Yarrowia lipolytica: one gene and its partners. The protein of the gene in region 2 purifies or fractionates together with the protein of the main gene of each other region. This does not show direct contact. Links are inferred from orthologs where the notes say so. Each region holds a gene or a part of one and is shown on either strand. Other genes may lie near its edges. The genes, in order: YALI1_D11614g, YALI1_F36132g and YALI1_C01720g.

Region 1 (2,912 bases), on a different chromosome or scaffold from region 2:
GAACCGACGCGTTGGAGGACAGTTTCTTGGCCTGTAGCAGCTGAGAAGCGGCCTCCTTGTGTTTCTCTATCGCCTTACCATAGTCTTTGTTGGCGACGGCCGTTTGCGCCGACTTGGCCAGTGAATACGCCTTGTTGAGCGCGGCTTCCGGTTGTGACATGCAAACTGGCAGGTGGACGGTATTAGTACTGATGGTGTCTCTTTGGTGATCAGCTCACGCCGTCGTCATAATAGTCAAGTGACTTGATAGCTGAATTAGGTTTAGATAGTGATAGTGACTGATTATTAATAAAAAAGAAAAAAGAAGAAAGAAAGAAGAAAAAAAAGAAAGAAAAATAAAAAAAATAAAAAAACCAACACGATTGATCTGTGTACAGAAATGGGATTTGGTGATTAATAAACGAAATGAGAGGATCCTTACTTACATAATCGACACTGTGTTCGTCTTGTACATACCGGTGTAGAACACTTGGACCACTGTATGTCAACCAACGCCATCGCTGACATAAGCAAAAGTGGCAACCGGTGGCGTGCTGTGACATATATACAAATAATGACTAATCAGAGATCACGAGTGACGTGATTAATGGCCAGATCAAGACCTTTTGATAACGTAAGACGTACAGACTCACCAATATCAGTGTTGGAAGACTCAAGAAGAAGTGTGTCTGATTGATTTAACCATATATAATTAATACTAATTATATTAATGGTTGGTTGGATGAGGGCTATAACTTTGGAGCCAAAGGAGTATATCCAAACAACGGCAATTGACGGTATTTCCAAAACAAAAAACACAATATTACGAAATCACGTGATTTTACGTCGAGCTGTGTCTTTGGATTTTCGATAGCGTCTCTAGATCGTCTGCGACAGTCTTCCTTTGGTGTCCAGTGTTGCTCTACCACTTCAGTGGCAATTAAGGTTTCTCGAACAGTGTGTCCACCACATCACCGCAGGGCACCTCTCTCAGCTCACAACCAACACTCCAACTAGACCATCATCACAATCCGTGTTAGCTCTGTGCCCGCACTTTTTATTCTAGACACCACCGCTACGCACACATAAGACTCTGCCCGTGACAATGGAAGACCTAGATTTCGACATTGCGTCCAACTCGACCCAAGACATTCTCAACCGCAAACGGCTTCTGGAGAATGAAATCAAAATCATGAAGTCCGAGTTCCAGCGGCTCAGCCACGAGCGCAACACCATGAACGAGAAGATCAAGGACAACGCGGACAAGATTGAAAACAACAAGGTGCTGCCGTATCTGGTTGGCAACGTGGTGGAGCTGCTGGACATGGAGGGCGAGGTGGCCGAGGAGGGCGCCAATGTTGACGTGGAGGCGTCTCGAGTCGGCAAGTCTGCTGTCATCAAAACGTCCACCCGACAAACGGTGTTTCTGCCGCTCGTGGGACTCGTCGATCCTGAAACTCTCAAGCCCGGCGATCTGATTGGAGTCAACAAGGATTCGTTTCTGATTCTGGACACCCTGCCCGCAGAGTACGACTCGCGAGTCAAGGCCATGGAGGTGGACGAAAAGCCCAAGGAAACCTACGCAGACATTGGAGGTCTTGACAAGCAGGTGGAGGAGCTCGTGGAGGCCGTGGTACTGCCTCTCAAGCAGGCTGAAAAGTTCAAGCAACTCGGCATCAAGCCCCCAAAGGGCGCTCTCATGTACGGCCCTCCCGGAACCGGAAAGACTCTGCTGGCCCGAGCCTGTGCCGCCCAATCTAACGCCACTTTCCTGAAGTTGGCTGCGCCCCAGCTGGTTCAGATGTTCATTGGTGACGGTGCCAAGCTGGTGCGAGACGCCTTTGCTCTGGCCAAGGAGAAGGCCCCCACCATCATTTTCATCGACGAGCTGGATGCCATTGGAACGAAGCGATTCGACTCGGACAAGTCCGGAGACCGAGAGGTGCAGAGAACCATGTTGGAGCTGCTCAACCAGCTGGACGGTTTCGGATCCGACGACCGAGTCAAGGTCCTTGCCGCCACCAACCGAGTCGATGTGCTGGATCCCGCTCTGCTTCGATCCGGACGTCTTGACCGAAAGATTGAGTTCCCTCTGCCTTCCGAATCGGCACGAGCCGACATTCTGCAGATCCACTCGCGAAAGATGACCTGCGACGACTCCATCAACTGGATGGAGCTGGCACGATCTACCGACGAGTTCAACGGAGCACAGCTCAAGGCTGTGACTGTGGAGGCGGGTATGATTGCGCTTCGGTCTGGCAAGAACAAGATCACCCACGAGGACTTTGTTGAGGCCATCACCGAGGTCCAGGCACGAAAGTCCAAGTCCGTGTCTTTCTATGCATAAGTATGTTATATACCTAATCTGATGAAATTGTACGAGTCGTGAGAGGCTGCAAAGACACCTGTATAAATGCTGTACCCGTGGTTTGCGATTTTTCAACGCTTTAACATGATTTCTCACTAAGAAAACATGCTTTATTTATGATGTCATTTCGTAGGGAACAAGCCCCTTCTTATTTCAGAGATCAGTGGAAAATAAAAACAAAAAAAACAGTCCTTGCTCTCAAACAAGAAGCAAAAGACACAAACACAACTGACATCTATATAATAAGCTGTCCGTCTCCATCCTCGCGTCCACCTCACCTTGTCCGGTCCGGTTCTAAACGATTGCGTGGTATGTCGTTATACTTCACTTTAGCTCCGGTTGTCAAAGGGAACATGCATAGACCACGCTCGTCTTGGCCAAACCGTAAGTTTACGCTCCAGTTTGCATCTCCACTTACGATAGTCGACAGGAACACAACTGGGCTGAATACGACGAGACCGAGAGCGCACAAACGCCCACAGACACAGAAACAAAACACACGACCGTTGGGACTTGGCACGAGCATGCAAAGCCATGTTTCTCAATCTATCTAAGGCACAATCAA
Region 2 (3,569 bases):
TGCCCTGTGTCGGTGATTGTCGTGAGTCAAGGTTCGGTGATATTTACATCTTCAGATGGTGGTTTGCAGCTGCAGCAATAATTTTGAGTTTTTTAGGAATTGGCCCAACGTACTGCAAGTAGTTCCCGTACCTAATTACTATTGTACTGTACCGGTATTTGAAGAGGAAAGCTACCATCATCTGGTTTTCCGTCATACGAATAAGAATTACTTATTATCCCGTGTAAATGAACCCAAAAACATCTATTTGTCGATCTCATAACCTCGTACTTGTACACAGTAGTAACCTATGTTATTGTCATCTCTACTGCACATACTATACTCGCCTAAAAGGAGAAGGAGACATGGTTACTTGCAATAAAATAGGATAATAGGGCATCACAGAAACGGAGTCTGGGACAAAGTAAACGCCCACGTTGTAGTCTACAGCTGCCATTAACCCAATTACAATTTCGTAACACATTACCTACAATGGTGGACATTCTAAAATCATATGCTAGCCTATCTAAAGATCAAAATCCTCGTCGTCATCGTCGTCCAACTCGCCCTCCTCAATCTCCTTGACCAGCTCCCGCTCTCGCTCACGAGCCTCGTCAGCATTCTTCAGATCAATTCGGTTGGAGTTCATGGGGTACCGCATGGCCTTCACACTGTCGTTGTGGAGACCGATGCAGAAGGCAATTCGGTCGTGGAAGGTCTGCTGAGGCTCGTTAGTAGAGTACACGTCCAGCACCTCCTTAGATTGCATGAATCCTCGCTCCGAGTCGATGGTGGCTTCAATGACACCATCTCGAATGGCCTTGGCCACAATGTACTCTGCAGACTCCTCCGACTCGAGTCTCAGACGGATACAAATATCCTTAAGAGAGATTCGTGAATATGCCAGAGACATGATTCTGATACCGGTCTTGATGACATTCTGTCGCAGACGCAGAACCAGGGAGTAGGTACCATCGGCCTTGAACACGGATGCATACTTTTTGATTGTGTCAGCAAACTGGTTGAGATCACCGACTCGCACAGCCTTGACCACCTCGAAGTAAGCCTTGAGGCTCTGCTCCCGTCCGCTCTTGAACACGCTTCGTTCGGGAATGTCGCCCATCAGCAGTTCGATCACAATGTTGAGTTTTTGTGCGGCTTGCAGGAAGCCGGCAGCCAGAGGGGTCTGAGGCGCCTTTCGGATGGCTCCAGTGATGTGGGCGTGGGCAGCTGTGTAGTCAAGCTCGATTGCTCTGATTTTGGACAGATAGTACATGTAACGAGCGGCCAGAGCGTTGGCGGCGTTTTCGGGGAAGTTGACCTTGGACACGAGGTTAGAGGCCTGGGTCACATGTGCACAGAGCAGGTAGTTTCGCAGCAGCAGGGTGATCAGCGAGGCCTCAGTCTCGGGGTCATGTCGGAGAGAGGCAGTTCGCAGAGATGCCAGCAGGATGGGTCGGACAGCCTCGAGGTTGCCACTGAGCTCCTCACCTCGACACAGGTAGAACCAGATCTTGGAGGCAAGGTAGTCGAGCGATCGTCGGTTATAGGTTCTCAATCTAGCCACCACGTGCTCGCTGAGTTTCCGCAAGTCGTCAATTCGGTTCTCGTGGAGCAGCCAGGCCTGGAACAGCAGTGAAACGTACATGTCGATCTCTGGTAGAGGCTGGGTGGTGGCCTCAGTGGCGCCAGAGGCTCCATCAACCTCCATTTCGTCGGTGTTGGGGTTGACTCCAGCCAGAGCAACAAACCCGCTTCTTCGCTCATCGCCAGCAGGGTAGGTCATGACGGCGATTTGTGCCAGCAATTCTGGAGTGAGCTTTTTTCGTAGAGCAGGCAGACCTCGTAGGACTCGCAGGACGAATCGCTGGTCGAAGGAGGCGACGGCCTTCTCCAGAAAGGCGAAGGATTGCTTGATTTCAGCCAAAACAGGGTGGTCTGTGGTCATGGTTGTCTGTGCTGAAATGAGTATGATTGTGTGGTGATGAATCCTATGTGATTGAGTGTGGTGATGTGTGGCGACAACCTTAATTGGTGGTGCTTTTGTAAGTGGTCACGTATAGGTGATTCCGAACGAGCAGCGTGTTATTGGGAGAAGACGTACTGTAGATGGGGTTCGGTTCAACATTTGAGGTAATTGAGCGACGGATTGATGTCGTTAGATGGAGATTATACAGAAAGGTGTAGCTCATAACCTGTACTTATGGCGTACAATAGCATAATGTGTGCATGCGATAGGAGTATACATGTATGAACCTCAAGTTGGTTGATGAAGCTAAATGATTTCATAAGAAGTACTGGTCGTGATGTGGGATTATAGATACAGATATTCGCCACTGTCGCACACCCTCTCTCCGCACCTCCACTCCAAGTAACAACCCACCTTAACAACCTTGATCTCCAGCTGCATATGGACCATGAACTTAATTGAATGAACTCCAATTTATAATATACAAGTGGTCACCTCACTACAAGTACCAACAAGAACTACTATGCCAGTGTCGATAGAAGAGCTCAAGGCTTTGCAGGTTCAAAAGAAAGAGGCTTCTAAGCCAAAGTTCATCTCCAAGGCTAAGCGGGCCGAGATGGCTGCGAAGGCCAAACAGATCCAGAAAAACACGACATCTGAAGAGACTACGTTGAAGGATATTCGATCTACCACCGACCTGAAAAGGTCAGTTGTTCAGGAGACTGTGGAGACCACCAAGCCTCTCCCTTCGAAACCCAAGCCAAAATCAACCTCTGGAAAGTTTTCATTCGACTGGAGTGCTGCAGATGACACCTCCAAGGCATATCAGCCCAGCTACAGTATCGATTCCGGAGATGGGCAGGTGCCCAAACGCCAAAAGCGTGACCTGGAGGACGCACACTGGTCTGATAAACCTGTGGAAAGCATGACGTCGCGTGACTGGCGTATCTTCAAGGAAGATTACAGCATTGTCACCAAGGGCGGAGGAAATATTCCCAATCCTCTTAGGTCGTGGAATGAGTGCAAGGAAATACCAGGAATTGTACGTGATACAATCTCTCGAATGGGATACAAGGAGCCCACGCCTATCCAGAGAGCTGCTATTCCTATTGCTCTAGGCATTCGGGATGTGATTGGCGTTGCTGAGACAGGTAGTGGTAAAACTGCCTCTTTTCTGATCCCTCTGATCAGCTACATTTGTGAATTACCCAAGCTAGATGAGAGATCGAAGGTTAATGGTCCCTACGGTCTTATTTTGGCCCCCACTCGAGAACTGGCTATGCAGATCAAAGACGAAGCAGTCAAGTTCTGCGCACCACTCGGCTTCAAGGTGGTTTCTGTCGTTGGTGGATACTCTGCTCAAGAGCAGGCTCTGGCTGTACAAGAAGGAGCAGAACTAATTGTTGCTACCCCTGGCCGTTTGCTTGATGTCATTGACAGGCGACTGTTGGTTCTAAACCAGTGTTGCTATGTGGTCATGGATGAGGCCGACCGTATGGTGGACATGGGCTTCGAGGAGCAAGTCCAGAAGGTTCTGGCGTCTCTACCCTCGTCAAATGCTAAGCCCGACTCTGATGAGGCCGAAAACCTTGCGGCTGTATCCACCAGGCGATACAGACAG
Region 3 (2,499 bases), on a different chromosome or scaffold from region 2:
GACACGGCTTTTCCACTCACTTTAATTTAAGCCGTATTTTAAGCCATGTCTTAGATCCAGACGAAAAAACGGTCTACCGGACTTGGTACAGACCTTAAACCAGCCCGTCAAAATACCGGTCGAAATACAGTACATTTACAAAACAATATAGGCTAAAGGCCAATATAAAAAAGCGTGTTGTAGTTGGACACGCGTATTGCACGCCCACGTCCAATTGCTCGATATACCACGTACCAGTGCGTACATTGTGTACAGCGGACTGTGCATACACCAGGCGCTGCCGGAGGTTCGGTTTAATTACGTGCTTGTGCTCGGATGCAGGGGAACCAACGGCAGTCACCGTTCTTAGTTTACCGGCATGCCGAAAAAGGCACGGTTTGCGAGCAGACAAACGGGCTGCTCACGACGGCAGAAAATTAATAATCGGCCATTGTTGCGCACTGCTGGCGACGTCCGCCACGTAATATGACGGCATTGCATTACATGGAGGGGCTGGATAAGAAAAATATTGCAAGGCTGATTGGCGATAGATAGCCGAGCACGGTGTATGTTGGGTTGAGTGGGTGGGAGGAGAGCCTTTGGAGCACACTTGTGAGACAGGACAAGGACAAGTGTAGCGGCGTATGCAATTACCCGTGTATCTGGTAATTAATGATGCATTTAGTGTGGGGGTCGAGGCCATAGCAGGTTGGCGACTGGGCAGGCATGGTAATAATCAACAAACGAGAGCCAATGGGCGCTCGTGAAGCTGTCGAATGTCGTTATTCTCTACTGTTAAAGTAACGGTTGGGACAAATACTTGAACTTAGTGGGCTCAATCAAACCCCCTGGTTGACAGCCTTAATTCAACCCCAAATTTACCACCTTGCTGTTGAACTACGGGCTCTAAAGACCATGCTCAAGGTGGAGGGTCGGCGGTCCAAAAGCCCAATTTTCCTTTCCCCACACGAAGCGATGGATCGCAGCAATATTTTCCACCGTCTTCCCCACTCTGCCCCACAGTAGAGCCTCATGATTTCATTTCCTTTGAACCAGACCAAGAAAGAGGTTAAACCACCTCGATCAGGTCACGTGATCATGCATACGGAAATCTGGGGACGCCTCGAACCTTAAGCAATCGTACCATGATCGAAACCTGCATCACCACCACGAACAAGTCCTTCCTTGTACACACAAGCATTTAACACAACAAAAACACACAATGGAAACCAAAGAATACCCTCTCCAGGTGGCTGCGCGGGACGGCGACTTGGCCACAGTGAAGGAGATTCTGTCACGTGACCCCAAGCAGGTGAACCTGGTGGATTCGGACGGCCGAAGCGCTCTGCTGTGGGCGGTGTCCATGGGCCACAAGAATATTGTGGAGTGGATTCTGGACAACCAAAAGCCTGCTGACATTGACCAGACCGACGCTAGTGGCTGGACCGTTGTTCACATTGCCTCCTCCACCGGAAACATTGACATGCTGCAGCTTGTTCTGCCTCTGGATCCCGATGTCAACGAGAAGGCCAATGGAGGACAGACTCCTTTGCATCTTGCTGTGGGCAAGAACCGAATCGATGCCGTGCGACTGTTGCTAGATCATGGAGCCAAGCCCTCAGTTCGAACAAAGGACGGCCAGGGCCAGATTCCGCTCGTTCGAGCTGCTGCCAACGGCTCCATGGTCATGGTCAAGACTCTGCTTGAGAACGGGTCGCCTCTGTCCACCACCGACATCAACGGCTGGACCGCTCTGCATCACGCCATGGCCGAGGGCCAGGGTGACGTTGCTGTCTATCTCATCCAGCAGGGTGCTTCCGCGGAGGCTGTGGACAGCGACAACAAGACCCCCTTTGATGTTGCTGTCGACACCAAGGTTCTGGAATACGTCAAGTCTCAGCTCGCCTAGATGGTCTTATCATGGGATCGGCGACCGATTGCTATTTGTACAGCACAATTGTACGGTCGAAGAGCGCAATTGGGTAGCGAAACTGTCAAGAGCTCACTTGACAAACATGATAGGATGGCTTTGTCTTGGCATGGATCGGACCCGCTATTACTTCTATTTCATAGTCAACCAAATGCATACACTGTTGGGCGGACATTGGTGAATTGCCATGCTATGCTGTGGGGTTCTGCCTTTGCTCCATCATATCAGCTACCTGTAGCGCAAAGAGCCAGTCTAGCCGTACGTGCTGTAACCTTCGCACTTTCCGAGCCCACGGAGTTTTGTACGAAAGAAGACAAGGATCGTAGGAAGGGTAGAGAGTGGATAAAGCGCGTATAAAAGTAGATAGAGAGTTTCGTTAACGCGGTAAAAGGGATGCACGTAGATGAGGTAGGACCAAGCAGCATACGTGTACAAGTAAGTGCTTTACCGGGAATGTGTGTTTTACCGAGTACAGGTATGCACATTGTGTAGTGCTTGGTAACGGTTGAGGTTTTTAAGTGTAGACGAAGAGGTTTAAATAACTGTCCAAGTGATTTGTCAAACAACACAGTTAGACAATCATGCCGCAT

What was found.
Region 1: the proteins of YALI1_F36132g (region 2) and YALI1_D11614g purify together in Saccharomyces cerevisiae (affinity purification with mass spectrometry; 3 studies listed by BioGRID). This does not show direct contact. The link is inferred for Yarrowia lipolytica from reciprocal best matches to the Saccharomyces cerevisiae genes RPN3 and RPT5.
Region 3: the proteins of YALI1_F36132g (region 2) and YALI1_C01720g purify together in Saccharomyces cerevisiae (affinity purification with mass spectrometry; 5 studies listed by BioGRID, with this or other methods). This does not show direct contact. The link is inferred for Yarrowia lipolytica from reciprocal best matches to the Saccharomyces cerevisiae genes RPN3 and NAS6.

Annotation. Positions count from the first base shown.
Region 1 is NC_090773.1:1,159,595-1,162,506, reverse strand, and holds YALI1_D11614g (uncharacterized protein), read left to right. Parts: upstream 1-1,084; coding exon 1,085-2,326; downstream 2,327-2,912. Other genes in the region: YALI1_D11623g (uncharacterized protein), read right to left, coding at 1-160; YALI1_D11592g (uncharacterized protein), read left to right, coding at 2,882-2,912. UniProt on the Saccharomyces cerevisiae protein: The 26S proteasome is involved in the ATP-dependent degradation of ubiquitinated proteins. The regulatory (or ATPase) complex confers ATP dependency and substrate specificity to the 26S complex.
Region 2 is NC_090775.1:3,611,609-3,615,177, reverse strand, and holds YALI1_F36132g (uncharacterized protein), read right to left. Parts: upstream 1,928-3,569; coding exon 506-1,927; downstream 1-505. Other genes in the region: YALI1_F36127g (uncharacterized protein), read left to right, coding at 2,472-3,569. UniProt on the Saccharomyces cerevisiae protein: Acts as a regulatory subunit of the 26S proteasome which is involved in the ATP-dependent degradation of ubiquitinated proteins.
Region 3 is NC_090772.1:170,758-173,256, reverse strand, and holds YALI1_C01720g (uncharacterized protein), read left to right. Parts: upstream 1-1,201; coding exon 1,202-1,888; downstream 1,889-2,499. UniProt on the Saccharomyces cerevisiae protein: Acts as a chaperone during the assembly of the 26S proteasome, specifically of the 19S regulatory complex (RC) and appears to have an overlapping role with RPN14.